Linked DNA regions of Arabidopsis thaliana. The protein of the gene in region 4 interacts with the protein of the main gene of each other region in a biochemical or structural test. Each region holds a gene or a part of one and is shown on either strand. Other genes may lie near its edges. The genes, in order: TIFY7, TIFY10B, JAZ3 and COI1.

Region 1 (4,824 bases), on a different chromosome or scaffold from region 4:
TCGAAATGTTACGCGCGTTTCAGTGTTGGTGGTAGTCACGCGCGTCAGACCCCAGGCCCAAACTTTGGTCATGGTCAGTCTTCCTCTAAACTTATTTTAACTAAACTAGATAAAAAAATAAAAAGTCGTAATCACTAAAAAAAAAACCTTTTTACGTAACCTCAGATGAAAATTTAAATATTAGACTGATCTTAACAATTAGTCTAATGGTTTATATATTTGTGTACGACGCTAAATTTTTAAACCCATAAAATTGATAGTGTTGACCATAAATAAAAATATGAACATTATACTTGATGGAGAAAACAAATTTATTAAAAACTTTAGAGGTGGATGGATAGTTTTAAAATTATATATATATATATTTGGCAGAAGGAGAGAAGGGCAATAAGGATGATAATGGAGTGGGAAAAACATTGGCGATAATAATAGGAATCGTCACCTTAATCATCTTGCTCGTTGTGTTTCTCGCTTTTGTTGGAAAGTGTTGTAGAAAATTACAAGGTATTTTTGATATTGATTTACGTTTTTTTTTCAGTTCTTTTATCGATCATAAAATCTAAATTACTATGTATATGCCTTTTGCAGATGAGAAATGGTGTAAATGAAAGGACAAAGTGGGAAAGATATCAATCAACAACTCGAGTCGAGCCACACTGTTAGTTGTATTTTTGTAATTTTTTTTGTTCTCCCTCATAAGATGTACGTAGTTATAGTATATTGATAATTTGATATAGTATTGATATGATTGTATCTCCGAATCGATTTTTGTATAATTGTCGGACTTATATAGGCCAAAGCGATATCTTCTTCTTTGATGTGAATGAAACCTTCGATTTCTTATCTTCTATAAATGCCATGTTTTTCGTCTATGCAAAAAATAACAGTAATTAAAAGGGTTTGAGCTTCTTTTATCAATACACAAACAAGTTAAAATAAATGAACGTGTCGAGAATAATGGAACATATTAAACCGTAAATCAGGATGGAGATCCAAAAAATGATAACTGTGTTCGTCCTATTGCGAATGTCTGAACGAATCTTTTCATCGTATTCATCATTATTTATTCTCATATTGTCTAAAGAACTCAATTGAAGACTTGGCCTAATGTCCTTTAATCATTAAAAATGATAATTTAAAATTGTAAGCTGACTACCAAATCGTTTTAGGACTTTGAAAGACCAACTAACGTCTAATTCTTTTCCATATTTTTTTTAATTTTCTGAAATTCTTAATGTACTACCGATGATTGCTTCATAACCAGGTTCTTCTTTTAATTTGTACATGAGTAACATGACTAATAAATGACTTGCGTCTGTTTGAAACATTATATGAATAAGAAAAATTGGTCTCAAATAACAACATGATGTATCAAAGATTCAAAAATTTCACGTGTTATGAAATGAGCTTAGCAAAAGTTCACTCAAGTTCTTGGAGGTCTAGTTTGGAATGCAATTTAGCCAAATCTGTACAGTTATACTGAACAGATTTAATGTAAGTCGGGCCGTAAACAAAATTATGGGCCTTAGATAAGCAAATCAAACTTCTTTCAGCCCATTGAGCATTCTCGTGATTTGGTTATTGTATATCCAATACGTGACATTACTTTTGCCTCAACGAAAGAGTCTTGGCTTATCATTTCATTTATTATTATAGTTGAAATAATTTTCAAAGAAAAGAAAAAAATATGTGATAAATACCAAACCGTTGCATAAGAAAAGCAACCACACATTTTACATGTGTGTGTGAGTTCACGAAGAAAATATCCAATAGCCAAACTAATTAATCCACCTTTGAAAAAAAACATGCACTATTATAAACTAGAGCCACCGACGGTCGACGGATGTCTAATTGTATATGGTCCTCAGAAATGAAAAAATCAAAAGAATAAACACGTGTGAATTAACCGGTTTAACCAGTAGCACCAACCGTTTGTACCGGTCAGAAAAAAGCCCCACATGCTTTAATCAAGCAAGCCTTTAAAAACAGGAAAGGCAAAGAGTTAAATAAGCCTCTCCAAAAGTGTGTCTGTAACATTACCAAAACGAAACCTTCCTTGTGGATTCCCACTTCTTTCTTCTGTTTTCTTCTTCCTCTTCTTTAAATTGGATGTTTTGGGCAAGAAACAGAGAGAAACACGTTAATTTGAGAGTTTGTCATTGAATATTTGGTTTGCAATGGAAAGAGATTTTCTGGGTTTGAGCGACAAGCAGTATCTAAGTAATAACGTTAAGCATGAGGTTAACGATGATGCTGTCGAAGAACGAGGTTTGTGTTCTTGTCTCGAGAATCTTTTATTTTAATGTTTCAAGAAGAGATCAGTTTTCACTTTTAACATAGCCGTATAAAGTTGTTTATTTAAATATAATTTTTCAGATTCCAAAACTTGAAAAAAAAAAGATTCCATTAAATCTTTTATAAAAATGAGATTGGATAGATTAGTCAAATTGACGACCATAAAAAATGATACTTATAGGGTTAAGTACGAAGGCAGCTAGAGAATGGGGGAAGTCAAAGGTTTTTGCTACTTCAAGTTTCATGCCTTCTTCAGATTTCCAGGTTGGTTCATCTTAAAATTTAACTTACTCTGTATCAGTTTCAGATGTTATGGCTAATCTAATGGTTCTATAAGCTACCGCATAATCATGGTCGTCTTTTAGCATGTGCAAGAGGAGTACTCAATTATGGTCTTGATTAAAAAGAAGAATTTACTTTCAAATTATGTTAAACACATCAATCACATATTTATGAGAAAAGTTGTTTTCGTAAGAGATAGCCACCGGAAAATGGTCGGATAAATGGCCGAACTTTATCATTTTTGTGTATGTGGCCAATCATTAACCAGGGAAAAAAAATTGTTGGATAAGTGCTAGTTAAGAGCTGGTAGGGTCGGTCGTCTGCCAGCCGCAAAGTTAGGGAAAAAATAATTTAATATTTTGTGGCGTTTGGTGTTTGGCGTTTGGATCACGTTTATTTCTTGGCATTTTTCTAAATTTAGAATGTACAAAAAATTTAAAGACGTTGACGATTAAAATTTGAATTTAACAAATTAGGAGGCTAAGGCGTTTCCGGGTGCATACCAGTGGGGATCAGTTTCTGCGGCCAATGTTTTCCGCAGATGCCAATTTGGTGGTGCGTTTCAAAACGCGACGCCGCTTTTACTAGGCGGTTCAGTTCCTTTACCAACTCATCCTTCTCTTGTTCCACGGTAATTTCCATATTATGATGCAAAAACATTCAACAATTTTTTTGCTCTTTTCATATTTTGATTTGGTTATGTGGGTTTGTGGAAACAGAGTGGCTTCCTCCGGATCATCTCCTCAGCTCACAATCTTTTATGGCGGAACTATAAGCGTCTTTAATGACATATCTCCCGATAAGGTATATATAATCAAGATTCATACAAATAACATTTACATAACATTTACATGTTCTAAAACGGACTATTCATGATATGTGAGTAGGCTCAAGCCATCATGTTATGCGCCGGGAACGGTTTGAAAGGTGAAACTGGAGATAGCAAACCGGTTCGAGAAGCTGAAAGAATGTATGGAAAACAAATCCATAACACTGCTGCTACCTCATCAAGCTCTGCCACTCACACTGATAATTTCTCAAGGTGTAGGGACACACCCGTTGCTGCGACTAATGCAATGAGCATGATCGAATCATTCAATGCAGCTCCTCGTAACATGATTCCTTCAGGTATGTGTGTCTAATATCAACATCAAAACAAAATATAATCAAGATTTTTGCTTCCTCAAATCATATGTCTAAACTCGAAAATTGCTTTTTTCCAGTCCCTCAAGCTCGGAAAGCATCCTTGGCTCGGTTCTTGGAGAAGCGCAAAGAGAGGTTTGATTTTGTATTTTTTTTCTTTATAGAAAATTTTGAGGTTTTTCAATTGAATCTAAAAGAATTGATGTTGTTGGTGCAGGCTTATGAGTGCAATGCCATACAAGAAGATGCTTCTTGATTTGTCGACCGGAGAATCCAGTGGAATGAATTACTCTTCTACTTCTCCTACATAAAACCTACACTTTTTTTTTTTTTTTTTACAATGGTAATTTGTAATTGTAATCATTAGATTATGATTATATAGTTACCATTTATATTCTTACGAGCAGGAGAAGACGTTAGGGCGTCTCTGTATTTGATCATTGTTTGTAATGCTTTGGTCTGTTTATTGTAGGATTACATTATAACTTTAAGAACTAACAGATATATGTTTGTCATGGACTCATGTCTGTCAAGAATTTAATATCAAATAAAATTCACTATAATTTTTTTTTTGCTAATTTCACAAACACACTTCATTAACTAATTATATGAACACTTAATTGATTTATACCAAAATCATATTGAATGCATCGCTAAAGAGAATAGTACTAGTTTTGTATCGCCAGCTTTCGTTGTTAACAAGTCCACTTTACTATTATTCTCTCGAGTTTTTTTTTGGTATCAATGTAAAGAAAATAAGAAGGTGAAAATTCTCTTGAGGTTGATGATTGTGTAAAATACCTAAGATGATATATTACAAAAAATGATATGTTTTCAAAGGAAAATATTCATGTTTTAAATAGCTTTTTATGAAAGTCACGAGTTCAAAATTTGATGTTAAGGAGAATAAATACTACTAGTTTATGTGCTACAGTAAACAAAAAAAAAATTGTGAACCAAAAGAGCTCACATGTTGATTACGAAAACAGAGAGATTCTCTTCACAAGCGGAAAGATCTTATAGATATTATTATTTAGAGGCAGATAAATAATTGTAGGAAAGTAATAATGGTGAAGGAGATGCACATAAGCAAAAGTTTGGTGA
Region 2 (3,967 bases), on a different chromosome or scaffold from region 4:
AATTCTCAATTTTAAATTTAGTAGCTCTTGACAGTTTTCCCTTTGTTAATTACATATATAGAGAGTAACTAAATCATCTTTTGAAAGGTAAAAACTAAAAAAATATATTCCAAGGGCCCAATGTTTTACCACTTTCATATGTAAGCTTATTTTCTGTTAAATATGTGAAAGAAAGAAGAGGAATGAATCAGCTGTGAAAACCAAGAGCAAGTATAAAAACATGGCTAAAAGGGTATCAATCAGCCTTGTATAAGAGAGCCATAAGTAGATAAAGTTTCTACAGTAAAAACAGGAATATAGAGTACTATTCCTTAATTAGCTTATGTTCTTCTATTCTTCTTGTGACCTCTATCTTGCATTTTTGTGACCACCCCACTTGCCTTCTTCTTTTTGGTTGCATACTCTAAATAATATCCAGACTTTGATGTCTTTATGCGCTCTGGGTTCTTCTTGTGACCCCTCTTCCTTGTAATTGTATGTACCTGCAGCTTCTTCTGATTTTGTTTCTTATGGATATGTTTGTGATGTATAAAATTTTGTGAAGATGTTTATAAAACAGTTAAAAACCAAATTAACCAATCATCCTTATTTTCTCACGAGCCACTCTATGAACCTTACGTTATCTCGATGTACCTGTAATGAGTTAGCAATTACTACAATCCAAGTCAATAAAATAACAAGTTGGACGTTACGTTATAAAAGAAAATCAAACTTATTTGTGTGTTCCTAACAAACGCATGGGATAATAACAAGAGAATAAAAGACAGAGTGATAGGATCAACGGCTATTGTGCGTAGGAGAACACAGCTGCTATATAAGCCGCGTAACAGGTGATTACTCTGACTACGACACCAACAAGAAAAATTCTCTCAAATGTGGGCAGTTAAGTTAGACACGTGTAAGGTCGCGATTCATGGAGGAGACGTGCTCTTCCCGCTTTTTGTAATTATTTATTACTGTTGTCATAAATAAAACACTAAAAAAAAATTAATAAAAGGGAAAATACAAAACGTGATTTATGGATCAAATTTGCATTGGTGGTGGAGTTTTGGTTATGTAAGACCCACACCGTGTTCCCTCTATCTAACGCCGTTAATCCTCTTTTTTCCCCCAAATCATACCGTTAATTCTCTTTGAGTGCTAAAATATCACGCCGGTCTATGAGATTAAAATAGTAGACTAATTAATAGTGCTAAAAATACATAAATTAATGCCAAGAGATTCATCTTAAAAAAAAGGATATATGAACCAACTAAATGGTATAACTGAAAGACTATCATAATCAAATTTCATCTGAACATTGATTTGTTTGAACTAATTAATTTTAGGATTTTACGTTTTCATAATTTTTTATTTTATTTGAACATCTTGTAAGGGTAAAATGGTAAAAACAGGAGTAGTAAGAGGGTGAAATGGTTATTTCAAGTGTGAAGCGTGGGGACGTGGGTGACGGTGGTGATCTGAAACAGTGGTCTGCCGTTAAAACATTAAATTAAAACACGTGTTTTAAATGTCTCTATGTTAATTAATACTATAAGAGTATATTTTACTAATTTCCGTATCTGCAACCAGCGAAAAAAAAGTAATAAAGAGGTCCTCCATTTCTTCCTCGTGACAAAACGCACTTGGCAGAGAAAGATAAACAAGAACCCTAAGTTTTTTTATAAGATTCGAGAAAATTCAACAACTCAGGAAGGAAGATCCTTTTGCTCCAATTTCTCAATCGAAACGATTTCAATTTCGGTTTCAACGATGTCGAGTTTTTCTGCCGAGTGTTGGGACTTCTCTGGTCGTAAACCGAGCTTTTCACAAACATGTACTCGATTGAGTCGTTACCTGAAGGAGAAGGGTAGTTTTGGAGATCTGAGCTTAGGGATGACATGCAAGCCCGACGTTAATGGTAATCAACCTTTCTCTTTTAGATCTGTTCATTTCGTTTCTGCGAATTTTGAGTTTCCTGTTGCGAATTACGAATTATGAATCGATTACATGTTGTCTGGAAATTGAATCGTTGTAGAGAATCGATGATTAATGGATTTTGAATCAATTTCTATATATGTATGTATGTGTATGAATTTGTGGAGATGGTTCTGTGTTTGGTTTAAGCATAATCCTCTAAAGCCATAGGCCTGGTTTAGTCATTAAGTAGATTTTGTTTTGCAGTTGTTTGAGAGATTGGTGAATGATAATAATCTTTACTTTTGGATCAATTTTCGCAGGAGGTTCACGTCAGCCTACAATGATGAATCTGTTCCCTTGTGAAGCTTCAGGAATGGATTCTTCTGCTGGTCAAGAAGACATTAAACCGAAGACTATGTTTCCGAGACAATCAAGCTTTTCTTCTTCCTCTTCCTCTGGGACCAAAGAAGATGTACAGATGATCAAAGAGACTACTAAGTATGTGTTTATATGTATATAGTGAAAAGAATCGTCTCATATAGTAAGCTATGTTTCATCAGTTTAACTAATTTTTGTGTGATTTTGAACAGATCTGTGAAGCCAGAGTCTCAATCTGCTCCGTTGACTATATTCTACGGTGGTCGAGTTATGGTGTTTGATGATTTTTCTGCTGAGAAAGCTAAAGAAGTCATTGATTTGGCTAACAAAGGAAGTGCCAAAAGCTTCACATGTTTCACAGCTGAAGTAAACAATAACCATAGTGCTTATTCTCAAAAAGAGATTGCTTCTAGCCCAAATCCTGTTTGTAGTCCTGCAAAAACCGCAGCACAAGAGCCAATTCAGCCTAACCCGGCCTCTTTAGCCTGCGGTAATTGATCTCAGCCTCTTTTGGTTCAACCATCTCTGAGCTTGGCTTAGTCCTATTTCTCTAACTTTCTCTCTTTTTGATTTGTAGAACTCCCGATTGCAAGAAGAGCTTCACTTCATCGGTTCCTTGAGAAGAGGAAGGATAGGTAATGCATTTTAATGAAAACATAATATCTTGTTATTCCATAAGTTCTTGTTAAGCGAATTTCTCAATATCCTACTCGTAAACCTTTAACAGGATCACATCAAAGGCACCATACCAAATAGACGGTTCAGCTGAAGCGTCTTCCAAGCCTACTAACCCAGCTTGGCTCAGTTCACGGTAAACTTCGAGCCTGTCCGACCCAGAAGGCACAACTTGAGAGACCTTCTTGTAAGATTCTTCTGATGCTCCATCGTTACAAATATCAAGCTGCTCCTCTGTTCATTTTTTCTATAGATTAATTTCACCCCTAGTAGTTTTGTTTGTTTAACTCCCCCGAAAACTCATTATATTTGTATGAAATCAATATCAATAGTGTTCAATGTTTGCTTCTGGGGTTTAAGTTTTAGCCAGTGTGTATAACCCTTTCCTCTGCCGATCTCAACATTAGCTTGCAACTTTTGTAAGAAACATCACTTGTGTTTTTGTGTTGATGGCCATTAATATAATCCAAGTTTATTTAATCCGATTGTTTGTTCGTCACTTATTGAGAGCTGAAGCTTACAGTTAAGGAACAGAAATACTTAAAGCATTCTCGAAAATAAAGAAATGTCTAAAAAATGATGATTTTCTATCAAGTATTGTCGTGTGAAAGATTTTCTTTAACAAGTCTGCTATTGTTCAAAATACGTTTTAACCTATCTATCCATTATAGTATTAGCATTTTCGTTTTGTTGTTAAATACATGGCACAAACTATGTAGACTATTTTTGGTTAAAATACCAAGCCAGTTACAATTTTGTTTTTCCCAAAATACTAGTTATAACTTTGTAAAATATCCGAAGTCCATAATAAAAAGAGCTTCATAAATATCCAATAAGTGGAGTAGATCAGACCAGGCTTGGTAGGCCACGGGAATTCTGACCCACGATAACTTTTTTTCGTTCGGTCTTGAACAATGATTTGTTCGGTCTTGAACAATGATCATCCAACTAACAAAACGTAAATTTGGTCCAAAGACTGGTCCGAAATTCGTTATGATTAATAAGCCCGAAGAAC
Region 3 (5,702 bases), on a different chromosome or scaffold from region 4:
TGCTCGACGAATCTTCTCAGCTCAGCTACTTGAATCGCATCCACCATCGAATTCCGCCTTTTTCTTCTTCTTTCTATGAAAAGCTTAGAAATCAGTGAATCCTTGTGATCGTACGGAGCTGTGTCTGCTCGTATTGGTTTTGATTAGACTGAAAAACGTTGAAATAATCATCGCCGAAAACCGAACATGTCCAACCGGTTTTGTCTTCGCGTTAACTTAACCGCGACTGAATTCATATCCGGTTTATCATCTTTTGCAACATCCCTTTTCGTTGTGCAATAAGACATTGGGCCTTGATGGGCTACAACACAAAATGGCCCACATATTGAAATTAGGATGTTACAAAGAAACTCACAGCCAAAACGAAGACCGAAAAATAATTAGCCAAAACGAATTAAAGCAAATTCTAAAAGATGTTCCATTTTCTCCATATATAATGATGACTTCTTTTGTGAATTCGAGTTGGTAACTGGTAATGTATCAAGCTTATTGTTAACCAGAGTACAAATTAGCAAATCCTATTAAAAAAATCCCCATATTTGAATAGAAAATTGATTAGAGAAATAACTTAGGGAAACAGAAGCGATGCAATTCCATTACATGAATTATACATATGCGAGCTTCAGTGATATATACAAAAGAACAGAGTTAAAAAAAAAGAAACAAACAGTTTCTACTAATTTTCCCAAGTACATATCTGATATGCTCTCATAAGTTCCATTCCACCAAAAAACATGTAAACAAAGTATACACTATCGTATATATAAAGCTAAGGAGAAACTCAGTGTGGCGAGTGAGGAAAAATTAACTGAGACATTGAAAAGACCGCCATTGAAATGCAAATATGGATGTGGAGTGGTCTAAAGCAACCTTCTTACTGTAGATGAAATTAGGTTGCAGAGCTGAGAGAAGAACTAATGCATTCAGACATTGATCTGCGACAATCTGTCGATGACTTCTTGTCTAAGCAATATGGGGATACGCTCGTGACCCTGAGAAACCCACAGCGAGAAAGAGAGTTAGCCCAAGAAACTATTGAATGGTGTATTCTAAAGAAGTGTTGCGTACCTTTCTTTGCGTTTCTCTAAAAACCTAGCCAGGGATGCTTTGCGAGCCAGAGGTAATGCCACTGCATAAGAAACAGAACGAGAATGAAGTTACATCCATGAAAATACTAGTAAGTTAGATGGCGAATGTAGTATCAGGTCTCTGACTTTGTTTTTTACCTGTTGGAGCCATTACATTGGTAGAACAAGAAACTGGTACTGGGCAGTTAATATTGGATCCATTAGCTTGGTTGTTGTGATATGTTGACGTCAAGCCTCTTGTCGCTTTTGTGGCTCCGAGTCCGTTTGTGCTACTTCCAGCTTCAGGGCTAAGATAAGATATTGTAGGCATGAAGCTAGGAGGCATAGCTGAAGAATCGACAGAGGCACGAGTATGATGGACCACTTGTTGATGAGTTTGAGGCGGCGAAAAGACTTGAGGCATAGAGGAACCGTTCCCAGCTAGCAACATTATCGCCTTTGCCTGAGAAATGAAAGAAAGCAAATGAGTACCATACCTTACGAGTAAAAGAGATGCATATATGGAAGAAAATGATTGAGATACCTTTTCAGGAGATATGTCATCGTAAACACAAACTGAACCGGCATAAAAGATCGTCAACTGCGCAGGTGAACCTATTGGCTTGGAAGAAGATCTGACAAAAATAAGTCTTTAGTCAACTATGAAAATGTAGAAAGAGTTTCTGTATGATATGATGACTAGTGGGTACCTAATATCAGTAGTCCCTACAATGGAACCTGGAGGAGGAAGGATTGAAATTGGAGGTGCCATGATAGGAACTCCTACCAAAGGTTGTGAGTTATTGTTATTGTTCATGAAGCTTCTTCCTCCTGGTGCATAATGATGAGACTGGAAACCCGGCATCGACATGGAAACTGCGTTAGTTTCTTCGTGTTGATTGGAATTAGGGAACATCCTCACTCCCTGAGAGTAACAAGCCATAAAGTAGGTGTGAGGCATTGTATGAACTAACTTATCAAAAATGAGAAGCTTAGCTTACACTTAAAATGAATCAGTATTAAACCAAGATTAGATCCACAAACTAATTGCCATGAACTTGTGCTAAACTAGACTCAAAACCAATTACTATATGCTCATAAAACAGGGCTCACTTTTAAAGCTATCTTGCGAAGGATAAAAAAAACACAAGGGTCTTGGTTAACATAGGTTTTGATGACAAATACCTGTACAGAACTGTAAGGAGCTTTGCGGGTTGAATCATAAACATCAGCTACTGATGATGGCATGAAGGAACCAGAGTGAGGAAGATGATAATTTCCAGACTTTCTATGTCTATCTTCTTGAGTTGGCCTGAAGGATAGAAACTGAGAAGAAGAAGCTGATACTTTGTTTGAGAAAGACCAGTTCATTCCTCTGTTGGGAGCTACAAAAGAAAAAGAATAAAAGATAATCAGTTTAAAGTCAAACATGTAGTGTTAACTGTTAACCATAAATGTCTCGAGATCTCCTTACATAAACAACAGAGGATTAATTCAACACCTACTTCAAGGAAAAGATTAGTAACCAACAATGTAGAATCTGATACTGTTGACAAATTCAACGAGGGAAAACCACTTTCGAAAACCGTGTCTAATTCTAAAACATTTGATTGAAAGTCATTGTACGAAACTCCAATAATTTAAGTTTGTTTTAATAGTTTAAATTAAAGAGAGATTCAAACTTTAACCCCACCACACCACACCACATGTTGATGCACTACTTTTATGGTGTGGCACGTTTTGGCTGATAAGAAAACAAAGTTGAAATAATTATATTCCTCGTGGTGAGAAAACTATTATTTCCACATTGTACCTTGAACAATATTCTAACGCAAGTTCCGCTTAATCAACACACAACACAAATACACAATCAATATTTTAATAATCTCATAAACTAATCCAACTCACACAATCAAGAAGTTAATCATCTTATAAACTAATCCAACTCACTCTTTTGAGTATATTTAATCTTTCTACCTACTACCAACCGTCTCTATTTTATCATTTTTGTATCAGTCTCTATACATCCCCTCTTTTCCAACATTTTACGTATTCGTTTTTTTTTTAGTATAAACTAATAAAGTATTTCTCAATTATAAGACTCTTCAAACAAAACAAAAAAATTTACTCTAGTAAAAAAAAGTTTACCGAGTTTAATTATGTTAGAAGCTTGAGATTAGTTCTCGTTAATTTCTCCGACCGAAAGCATGTTTAAGACAAGGCTTTGGAAAAGAACACTAGTTTTTCCAAATCCAAATTCTACATCTCCCGAGAAAAGCAAAGGACAATGTTCTGCTCCAAGCAACAAACTGACAATTCCAGTTCCCGAGCAAGCCATAAAATCAGCTATCCAAAAACAAATTCCATACTACAAGTAGTCCTAATAACTCCTAATCAATCAAACAAATCTACGATTTAAAAACAATCAGAATCAGAAAAATTGAGAAGAGTAATAAATAACCTGAATCTCTAGAGCTTTCGCTGGTTTCCTCCTTGACAGTGATCGGAGAATTTTTCGAACCCAACCCGAGAAAATCTCTCTCCATCTATAATAAAGACACAGCCCGCTACAAAATTAATTCGATCTCAAATGTCTGTTTCGATTAAAACGCGTGTTAAACGCCGGAATCAAGCTAAATAGAGCTTCGCCGGAAAAAGGAAAAAAAACAGAGACTTTTGAGGGAGAAAATGAAAAAACGTGGAATGAAGTTAATTCACCGCAATTTCTAGTTTTATTAACAAATCGCATGCGACATGTGAATCGTACCATTAATTTATAACTATAACAAGAAAAAAAAGATTCTTTTTTCTCATATCCTATTGGCGCAAAAACCAGCTACAGGTTGTCCCGGTTACGTCACCGGATATAGTCGGTTAAAAAGGCACGTGCATCGTCGTGCAGTGTGTGGCGTTTCTTTTTGTGGTGAGACGCGTGGCGAGGCACGTGCGCTATTTTAACGTGAATGATTCACGAGATGCGAAGCGGCAGTTTTAATTTATTTTTTTATTCAATGACAACACTTTTTTTTGTCGGCTGACGCGCTAAGTGTAGCGCGTGAGTCTAACCCCCTTTTTGTCTCACCGCTCAATCTAAAATAGTAAAATTAGTTACACTACTTTCGTGCACGTTCTCTTGACCAAGATAAACATTTGCACGTTGCATTTTTTTGGCAAAATATATTAATTTGTATTTTAGTACTATATTTTTAATCTTTGATTAATCGGATGGTACTATAAAGTAATTGTAAAGATTAGACTTTCATAAAATGATTTAAATACAACAAAATAATTGTTGCGGAAATTTAGTTCCACAACTAAACATTATTAAGCTAAATCTAAATCCTCATGTGATTATGTCATCACTCTAATATTATTTTTTTTAATCCAATTTTTAATTATTTTTTCTGTCATTGTACTTTTATTAATATTTTTCGCGAATTATTAAAGAATGTTGCTTGTTGCTTAAACTATACTTGTATTAATTAAGGTAATTATTGGTACCAAAAAGAAAATATTACTTTAATGTACATATTACTAAAATCACTCGTTGACATCGTTTTTGTGTATTTATAAGATGCATGTGGTCCGGGGGAGGAAATTACGCCATTTCGTGCGTCACTTTCTTCTTAATTTAGTAAAAACTAATACTATACTAAATTTACTAATGTTTTAAAACATATCTAATTATCTCACAAATATAATAATAAAGTTTTCATTTTTTTATGAAAATGAATATTTAAAATTCAAATCTATAGAAAAAATGGAAAGGAGTCAATGATCACAACAACTTGACGATCTCTAAACAAAAAAAAAATTGACGATCATCTCCCACGATAACATCGTTATTTCGAGTCTGGGGGATATGCAGCACACGTCATTTTCTCCAGCCTAGAATTTAGATATTAATATCACATTATTAAGAAAATACTACACTGCAGTTTATTATATACACAACATTCCATATAGATAATAGATCAGATCAGATCAAAAGTGGACCTACAAAGCGAAGATTATATCAAAAGATGCCATAAACGCATCTCTCACGCTATGATCCACATAAAACATCCGAAATTTAATTCTGTTTTTACATCCGACATTTAATTCTTGTTTTCTGTTTTTACATCATTTAATTCTGGTTACCACGACATTTTTTTTGTTTTAATGGTATTAGACTCTATATAGACATACAAAACTCAAAACAAAAGATTCAATGATCACCCCCTACCAAAAAAAGAACAGATTAAATGATCACGAGTTGGCTTAACAACGAAAACTTTTCTCCAACCAAAACCAAACTTAACTATTCTAAATCAAACTCAACAGCAACAGCAACGTCTGTTTACAACAACAACTTAAATAATTTTGTATTAAAATCGAATGAGAGTAAATAATGGCAAAGAGAAAATCAAATGACATATGTATATGCATGATATATAGCGCAGCATTTAACTATATTTAGACTGACTTGAGTAGTTGCAATATTTGGCTCTCTTTTTTTTGAGTTTGGTGCTTTAGTGGATCCTTTGATGGCTCATCCTGCTTCTCGTCGACGTCGAGCCAGATCCAGAGAAGAGCCTCCCTACTTAATGATCTGGTCATTTCTCACCTGTTAATACTTACATTTTAGTTTTTATT
Region 4 (5,911 bases):
GTATCTCATGGGTTCAGTGGTGCCTAACATCAAAGGTTGTCAGGTCCCATCTCCTGATTCATCATCATCTTCTGGCTTTTCTGAAACAGCTGATTCCTCCTCGAGTGCATCATCAAAATCTCTTAGAGCACGCCACTGTGGGACTCAACAGACAAAGACCCAAGGAAGCCTCAGCCCTAGAGCAAGCTCCTTCAAAGAAAACACACTGAGAAATGCTTCTCTACGTATCTCCTCTAGAGATAAATCAAAGGGACACAGTGAAGGCCATTTCTCAATCTTTGATAATTCATCCATTACCTCTATCCCCACCAATGTAGAGGGTTTTATCCAGTCAGAAGGAGAAGTTGAAGAAGCTACTGAGAATTATAATGGAATCAGACAAATTATTGCTTTTGAAGAAGCAGAGTCAACACCAAGTACAATGACCGGACCTCCCCCATTTCCTTTGAAGATGGGTCCACCAGTCTTTTCTCCTTATTATTGCTGGTGCCCTCCAACCACTTCATCGCTTCACGCACCATCTGCCTCTTATCAGTTCCCTCCACTATCCATTGAGCTACCTTCCCTTCCGCCACTTTCCTCCTTATTACCAGCATCGGGATCAGATGGATTCTTGATCCCGTCATCACCGCTCGATCTCTCTGACATCCCTCCATTACCATTAGTCCACCACATACCCATTCCAGGCTCATCATCATCATCATCCCAGCAACAGATGATGATTCCTATAATGTGCGACCCTATTGTTCATATTCCAGTTATCGATATCTTCTCTTCAGGTCAAAGCTATCTGGTAAGCGCTGGACCCACCGGGATAATATCCACGGGCATCCCTCCGCTCCCAGTGGAGAATGATTCGCTGGTCGAGAAAGGTGCAAGAGAAACACTACGATTGCTCATAAGCGGAGCCAATGCAACAACATCTACACCTTTGAACCATCATGGAAGCAGAGGTCTATACAGTGTGAGCCGGGATGTGAGTGGTGTGAGCTTGTTTGCACCTATTGGGTTGCAACAACCGAGTTCAGTTGAGGGAGGAGATGGTGGTGGTGAGAGTGTGAGCTCAAGCGAAGCAGTGCCTGCGCCTCCCAGAGAGACTTCTGGTTAATTTTTTTGGTTCTTTGTAAGTGTGGTCCGAGTTAAGTGTATAGAAAACTCATCTCTCGCCTAGTTTTTGGTTTTGTTCAGCCCAAGTCTTTTGGTTTCAGGTGTAATTAGTCGGGTTTTTTGTAGCTTGCTTATATTACCTTTGTTATTTCCGAGTTTCAAATGAAGCTAAGAAATACGATCATAATAAAAAAGTTCTTTTGCAGTATTCATTTTCTTTCATGGTTCCCTCCTTATTCATAGTCATTGTTGTTCTTTCTAATACTTTTCCTGAGCTTTTTTTTTCTATTGGAAAAACTTTTGTCACTGAAAGAAATTTCAATGTGATTGGTTCTTTTCGCAACTGTAATAAGCACTAAAAGTTAATAATTTGCTGCTTTTTAAGTCTTGTTGCTGAATGATTTAATCCCAAAGACGTTAAAAAAAAGACATGTAAATAGTCTTTGTTCCAAAAGTACCATTTTGAGCGCTTTCTTTCGACAATTGATGTTGAACTTGTACCAAATAAACCTTGAAAATCATACATCATTAAATGTAGTTTTTTGTTATATACTTATATTCATATGGTCCATAATATATAGTTAACCATATTATGGACCATATAAATTCATGCAGTCAACAACTTTTTTTTTCCTCATTAAAAGCTACTAATACTGTAGAAAATTTTTATCTTACAAAAGAAAGGAGAATTATTGTATTTTTATTTTAATCACATATAAAGCAACCAAAGATAACATATACTAGTATTTAGTATTTTTAAATTTTTTGCTTAGGATTCAGGTTATTAATACTCTATAAAGAAATAATTAAATCTATCCATCGAATAAATCACACAGCTTATTGGATCAGTTAAATATTCTAATAATATTGTCGTGTAGCTGAGATCTGACCACTGCAAAAATGAAAAGAAAAACATAGAAGTAGAGAGAAGATCGCATCTCGACCGTCAACTTCAGTGTATGAAATAATGATCGTCCCACTTGATCCTCAAAAATATTATTAACCAAACAAAATTTGATTCCATCGTCCCACTTTCTTCTTCTTCCTCCCAATCCGCCTCTTCTTCCTACGCGTGTCTTCTTCTCCCTCACTCTCTCAATCTCTAGTCTTCTCCGATTCACCGGATCTTTCCTTTCTTACTTCTTTCTTCTCACTCTGGTGGTTATGTGTGGATCTGCGACCTCGATTTCAATTCGAAGTCGTCGGTTTCTTCTCTAAATCGAATCTTTCCAGGATTCGTTTGTTTTTTTCTTTTGTTTTTTTTTCGATCCGATGGAGGATCCTGATATCAAGAGGTGTAAATTGAGCTGCGTCGCGACGGTTGATGATGTCATCGAGCAAGTCATGACCTATATAACTGACCCGAAAGATCGCGATTCGGCTTCTTTGGTGTGTCGGAGATGGTTCAAGATTGATTCCGAGACGAGAGAGCATGTGACTATGGCGCTTTGCTACACTGCGACGCCTGATCGTCTTAGCCGTCGATTCCCGAACTTGAGGTCGCTCAAGCTTAAAGGCAAGCCTAGAGCAGCTATGTTTAATCTGATCCCTGAGAACTGGGGAGGTTATGTTACTCCTTGGGTTACTGAGATTTCTAACAACCTTAGGCAGCTCAAATCGGTGCACTTCCGACGGATGATTGTCAGTGACTTAGATCTAGATCGTTTAGCTAAAGCTAGAGCAGATGATCTTGAGACTTTGAAGCTAGACAAGTGTTCTGGTTTTACTACTGATGGACTTTTGAGCATCGTTACACACTGCAGGTACACTTACTTCTCAGTATCTTGTAGCTACTTTGGCTCGATGCTTTTGAGGTTTAGCGACTCCTTATCATTTCCTACTTTGACTAGAACTCTAGATGCATTTGGCTCTTTTTAAAAAACTTAATAAGTCGTCGTTGTACAAAGAACCATATCTTGAGTTTGTGTTTGTAAAGATTTGATCTTCTTTAGCTCAATTGGGTAAGTTGTAACTTTGGTGGATACTTTTTGTCCTTAATGAAATTGGTGAACCTTACTTCATTTGATTTCTTAGTACACTTTACACTAAGAGTAATATAAGCAGAAACATTTATTTCAGAAAGTTTCAGTATTTAGGCGTTCATGTTTGTCTTATATCCTTAATTGCTTTGCAACTGTTATGCTTGCTATTAAAGCAGAAATTGCAATGATCTTCAGTTATTTCTCAATTGGGGAAGTATAAACTTTGATCCGGATTTTATCTACAACCAATTTTTTCCCTCTTTGGGGAACATTCACTTTGTTTATGCATAAATAGCAAAAAGATTGATTTCTGACATCTTCAGTCTGCCAGAGTTTATGTGTATTATTTGGTTTTTGAATCCTTGATTCGGCTGCTGCTGTTCTTCATATTCAGTTTTAGCGGGAAATCCAAATATCTTGAGTTGTTTCTCACTTTATTCATGCAACTGTCTGTTGTCTTGTCCAGGAAAATAAAAACTTTGTTAATGGAAGAGAGTTCTTTTAGTGAAAAGGATGGTAAGTGGCTTCATGAGCTTGCTCAGCACAACACATCTCTTGAGGTTTTAAACTTCTACATGACGGAGTTTGCCAAAATCAGTCCCAAAGACTTGGAAACCATAGCTAGAAATTGCCGCTCTCTGGTATCTGTGAAGGTCGGTGACTTTGAGATTTTGGAACTAGTTGGGTTCTTTAAGGCTGCAGCTAATCTTGAAGAATTTTGTGGTGGCTCCTTGAATGAGGATATTGGAATGCCTGAGAAGTACATGAATCTGGTTTTTCCCCGAAAACTATGTCGGCTTGGTCTCTCTTACATGGGACCTAATGAAATGCCAATACTATTTCCATTCGCGGCCCAAATCCGAAAGCTGGATTTGCTTTATGCATTGCTAGAAACTGAAGACCATTGTACGCTTATCCAAAAGTGTCCTAATTTGGAAGTTCTCGAGGTAAACGTTTAACTTTGCTGTCTTTACTACATACTTGGGAATGCGTCCTTAGTACTAAATTGTGTTCCTATTTTTTCACGAAATATTTGGGGAGATAAGGGATATGAATGCAATATTGGTTCTCTTTAGTCTTTACATCTATATAAGACTGACAACACTTGTTGTTTTTCTTCAGACAAGGAATGTAATCGGAGATAGGGGTCTAGAGGTCCTTGCACAGTACTGTAAGCAGTTGAAGCGGCTGAGGATTGAACGCGGTGCAGATGAACAAGGAATGGAGGACGAAGAAGGCTTAGTCTCACAAAGAGGATTAATCGCTTTGGCTCAGGGCTGCCAGGAGCTAGAATACATGGCGGTGTATGTCTCAGATATAACTAACGAATCTCTTGAAAGCATAGGCACATATCTGAAAAACCTCTGTGACTTCCGCCTTGTCTTACTCGACCGGGAAGAAAGGATTACAGATCTGCCACTGGACAACGGAGTCCGATCTCTTTTGATTGGATGCAAGAAACTCAGACGATTTGCATTCTATCTGAGACAAGGCGGCTTAACCGACTTGGGCTTAAGCTACATCGGACAGTACAGTCCAAACGTGAGATGGATGCTGCTGGGTTACGTAGGTGAATCAGATGAAGGTTTAATGGAATTCTCAAGAGGCTGTCCAAATCTACAGAAGCTAGAGATGAGAGGTTGTTGCTTCAGTGAGCGAGCAATCGCTGCAGCGGTTACAAAATTGCCTTCACTGAGATACTTGTGGGTACAAGGTTACAGAGCATCGATGACGGGACAAGATCTAATGCAGATGGCTAGACCGTACTGGAACATCGAGCTGATTCCATCAAGAAGAGTCCCGGAAGTGAATCAACAAGGAGAGATAAGAGAGATGGAGCATCCGGCTCATATATTGGCTTACTACTCTCTGGCTGGCCAGAGAACAGATTGTCCAACAACTGTTAGAGTCCTGAAGGAGCCAATATGATATGACCCAAAAAACAGGTTTGTATATAAAGATTTTTAGTCTCGAGTTTTGGGGTTTCCACAAACTGTGTACTATACTACTTTGGTTCTTTTTTTGTTTCATGTTGTGTCGTCGATGTTTTTGGGAGATTACATAGAGTCAGTCTTGTTTGTTGTATGGTCATTACTTCTTTATTTTTCCTCAGGGGTCTGTTTACTTTAATTTCTTTAATAAAACCCCGAAGATTTTGAGAGATTTCTTTATCGTCCATGGTGTTGACTTCTGAGAGCTATATTTGTTTGGATTGGCATCTGAAACTTTATTTGTGGTTGTGATTGTTTTGATAACATTAGTAAAAAGGCAAATAATAGAGTACTAATAATCATTTATAACTTTATAGATGAAAACTTTGATTTCTTGTTCTTACACGAATTCTGAAAACGATGTAACAAGCTTTTGATTGGATTAACAGACGATAAAGGAATCTATTAACAATGAGTGGGCATATCTGAAGCCGACCAAAGGTACCCCATTCAGATTCTTCTAACCATAAAAGGAACCTTTACTATAATACATTATATAGGTAACGAAATAGTTGTCTGTATATGCATCTCATTCACATTTGAGAAGATTCCTTCATATGTTGTGATTTTGTCTAATACGCTTTTGGAGGAATCACGCAAACTCAGGGGTCTTTAATTGGTGAAAGAAGGAGAATGATGGATGAGTAACTGAGCATTGGGTACACATTTGCATCTAAGAAGTGCCTATACTGCTTCATCGCCGTTTCTCTCTCTGGGAGATCCGGTGTTATGCAGTCGTAAGGGCTCGGTTTGCTCGTGTCTACAAATGGCTCCCATCGGTATCCTGGCCTATTCGGTAGCGAAACAAGTGTGGCTAAATGACTGGTGTTG

The links.
Region 1: the proteins of COI1 (region 4) and TIFY7 form a complex in vitro, tested with the Arabidopsis thaliana proteins (one study listed by BioGRID).
Region 2: the proteins of COI1 (region 4) and TIFY10B form a complex in vitro, tested with the Arabidopsis thaliana proteins (one study listed by BioGRID).
Region 3: the proteins of COI1 (region 4) and JAZ3 form a complex in vitro, tested with the Arabidopsis thaliana proteins (3 studies listed by BioGRID).

The regions. Positions count from the first base shown.
Region 1 is NC_003070.9:26,652,774-26,657,597, forward strand, and holds TIFY7 (TIFY domain/Divergent CCT motif family protein), read left to right. Parts: upstream 1-1,994; 5' UTR 1,995-2,177; coding exon 2,178-2,268; intron 2,269-2,476; coding exon 2,477-2,559; intron 2,560-3,053; coding exon 3,054-3,208; intron 3,209-3,296; coding exon 3,297-3,381; intron 3,382-3,464; coding exon 3,465-3,705; intron 3,706-3,800; coding exon 3,801-3,976; coding exon of another isoform or gene 3,977-4,031; 3' UTR 4,032-4,291; downstream 4,292-4,824. Other genes in the region: HWI1 (Receptor-like protein kinase-related family protein), read left to right, coding at 1-73, 373-504, 589-608. UniProt on the Arabidopsis thaliana protein: Repressor of jasmonate responses. Jasmonoyl-isoleucine (JA-Ile) specifically promotes COI1-TIFY7/JAZ9 interaction. Interacts with and suppresses RHD6 and RSL1 transcription factor activities to negatively regulate jasmonate-stimulated root hair development.
Region 2 is NC_003070.9:28,148,044-28,152,010, reverse strand, and holds TIFY10B (TIFY domain/Divergent CCT motif family protein), read left to right. Parts: upstream 1-1,564; 5' UTR 1,565-1,752; coding exon 1,753-1,900; intron 1,901-2,219; coding exon 2,220-2,397; intron 2,398-2,489; coding exon 2,490-2,767; intron 2,768-2,854; coding exon 2,855-2,912; coding exon of another isoform or gene 2,913-2,916; exon of another isoform or gene 2,917-3,004; coding exon 3,005-3,092; 3' UTR 3,093-3,436; downstream 3,437-3,967. UniProt on the Arabidopsis thaliana protein: Repressor of jasmonate responses. Jasmonoyl-isoleucine (JA-Ile) specifically promotes COI1-TIFY10B/JAZ2 interaction. Activated by MYC2, MYC3 and MYC4 transcription factors.
Region 3 is NC_003074.8:6,117,879-6,123,580, reverse strand, and holds JAZ3 (jasmonate-zim-domain protein 3), read right to left. Parts: upstream 3,875-5,702; 5' UTR 3,614-3,874; coding exon 3,529-3,613; exon of another isoform or gene 2,499-3,528; coding exon of another isoform or gene 2,453-2,498; coding exon 2,253-2,452; intron 1,993-2,252; coding exon 1,778-1,992; intron 1,703-1,777; coding exon 1,612-1,702; intron 1,531-1,611; coding exon 1,227-1,530; intron 1,130-1,226; coding exon 1,069-1,129; intron 993-1,068; coding exon 890-992; 3' UTR 537-889; downstream 1-536. Other genes in the region: TDX (tetraticopeptide domain-containing thioredoxin), read right to left, coding at 1-47. UniProt on the Arabidopsis thaliana protein: Repressor of jasmonate responses. Jasmonoyl-isoleucine (JA-Ile) specifically promotes COI1-TIFY6B/JAZ3 interaction. Acts as a negative regulator of MYC2 function. Feed-back regulated by MYC2.
Region 4 is NC_003071.7:16,671,955-16,677,865, reverse strand, and holds COI1 (RNI-like superfamily protein), read left to right. Parts: upstream 1-2,001; 5' UTR 2,002-2,379; coding exon 2,380-2,870; intron 2,871-3,555; coding exon 3,556-4,036; intron 4,037-4,211; coding exon 4,212-5,018; 3' UTR 5,019-5,373; downstream 5,374-5,911. Other genes in the region: AT2G39950 (flocculation protein), read left to right, coding at 1-1,108; ISA1 (isoamylase 1), read right to left, coding at 5,683-5,911. UniProt on the Arabidopsis thaliana protein: Required for jasmonate-regulated plant fertility and defense processes, and for coronatine and/or other elicitors perceptions/responses. Seems to not be required for meiosis. Required for the regulation of some genes induced by wounding, but not for all.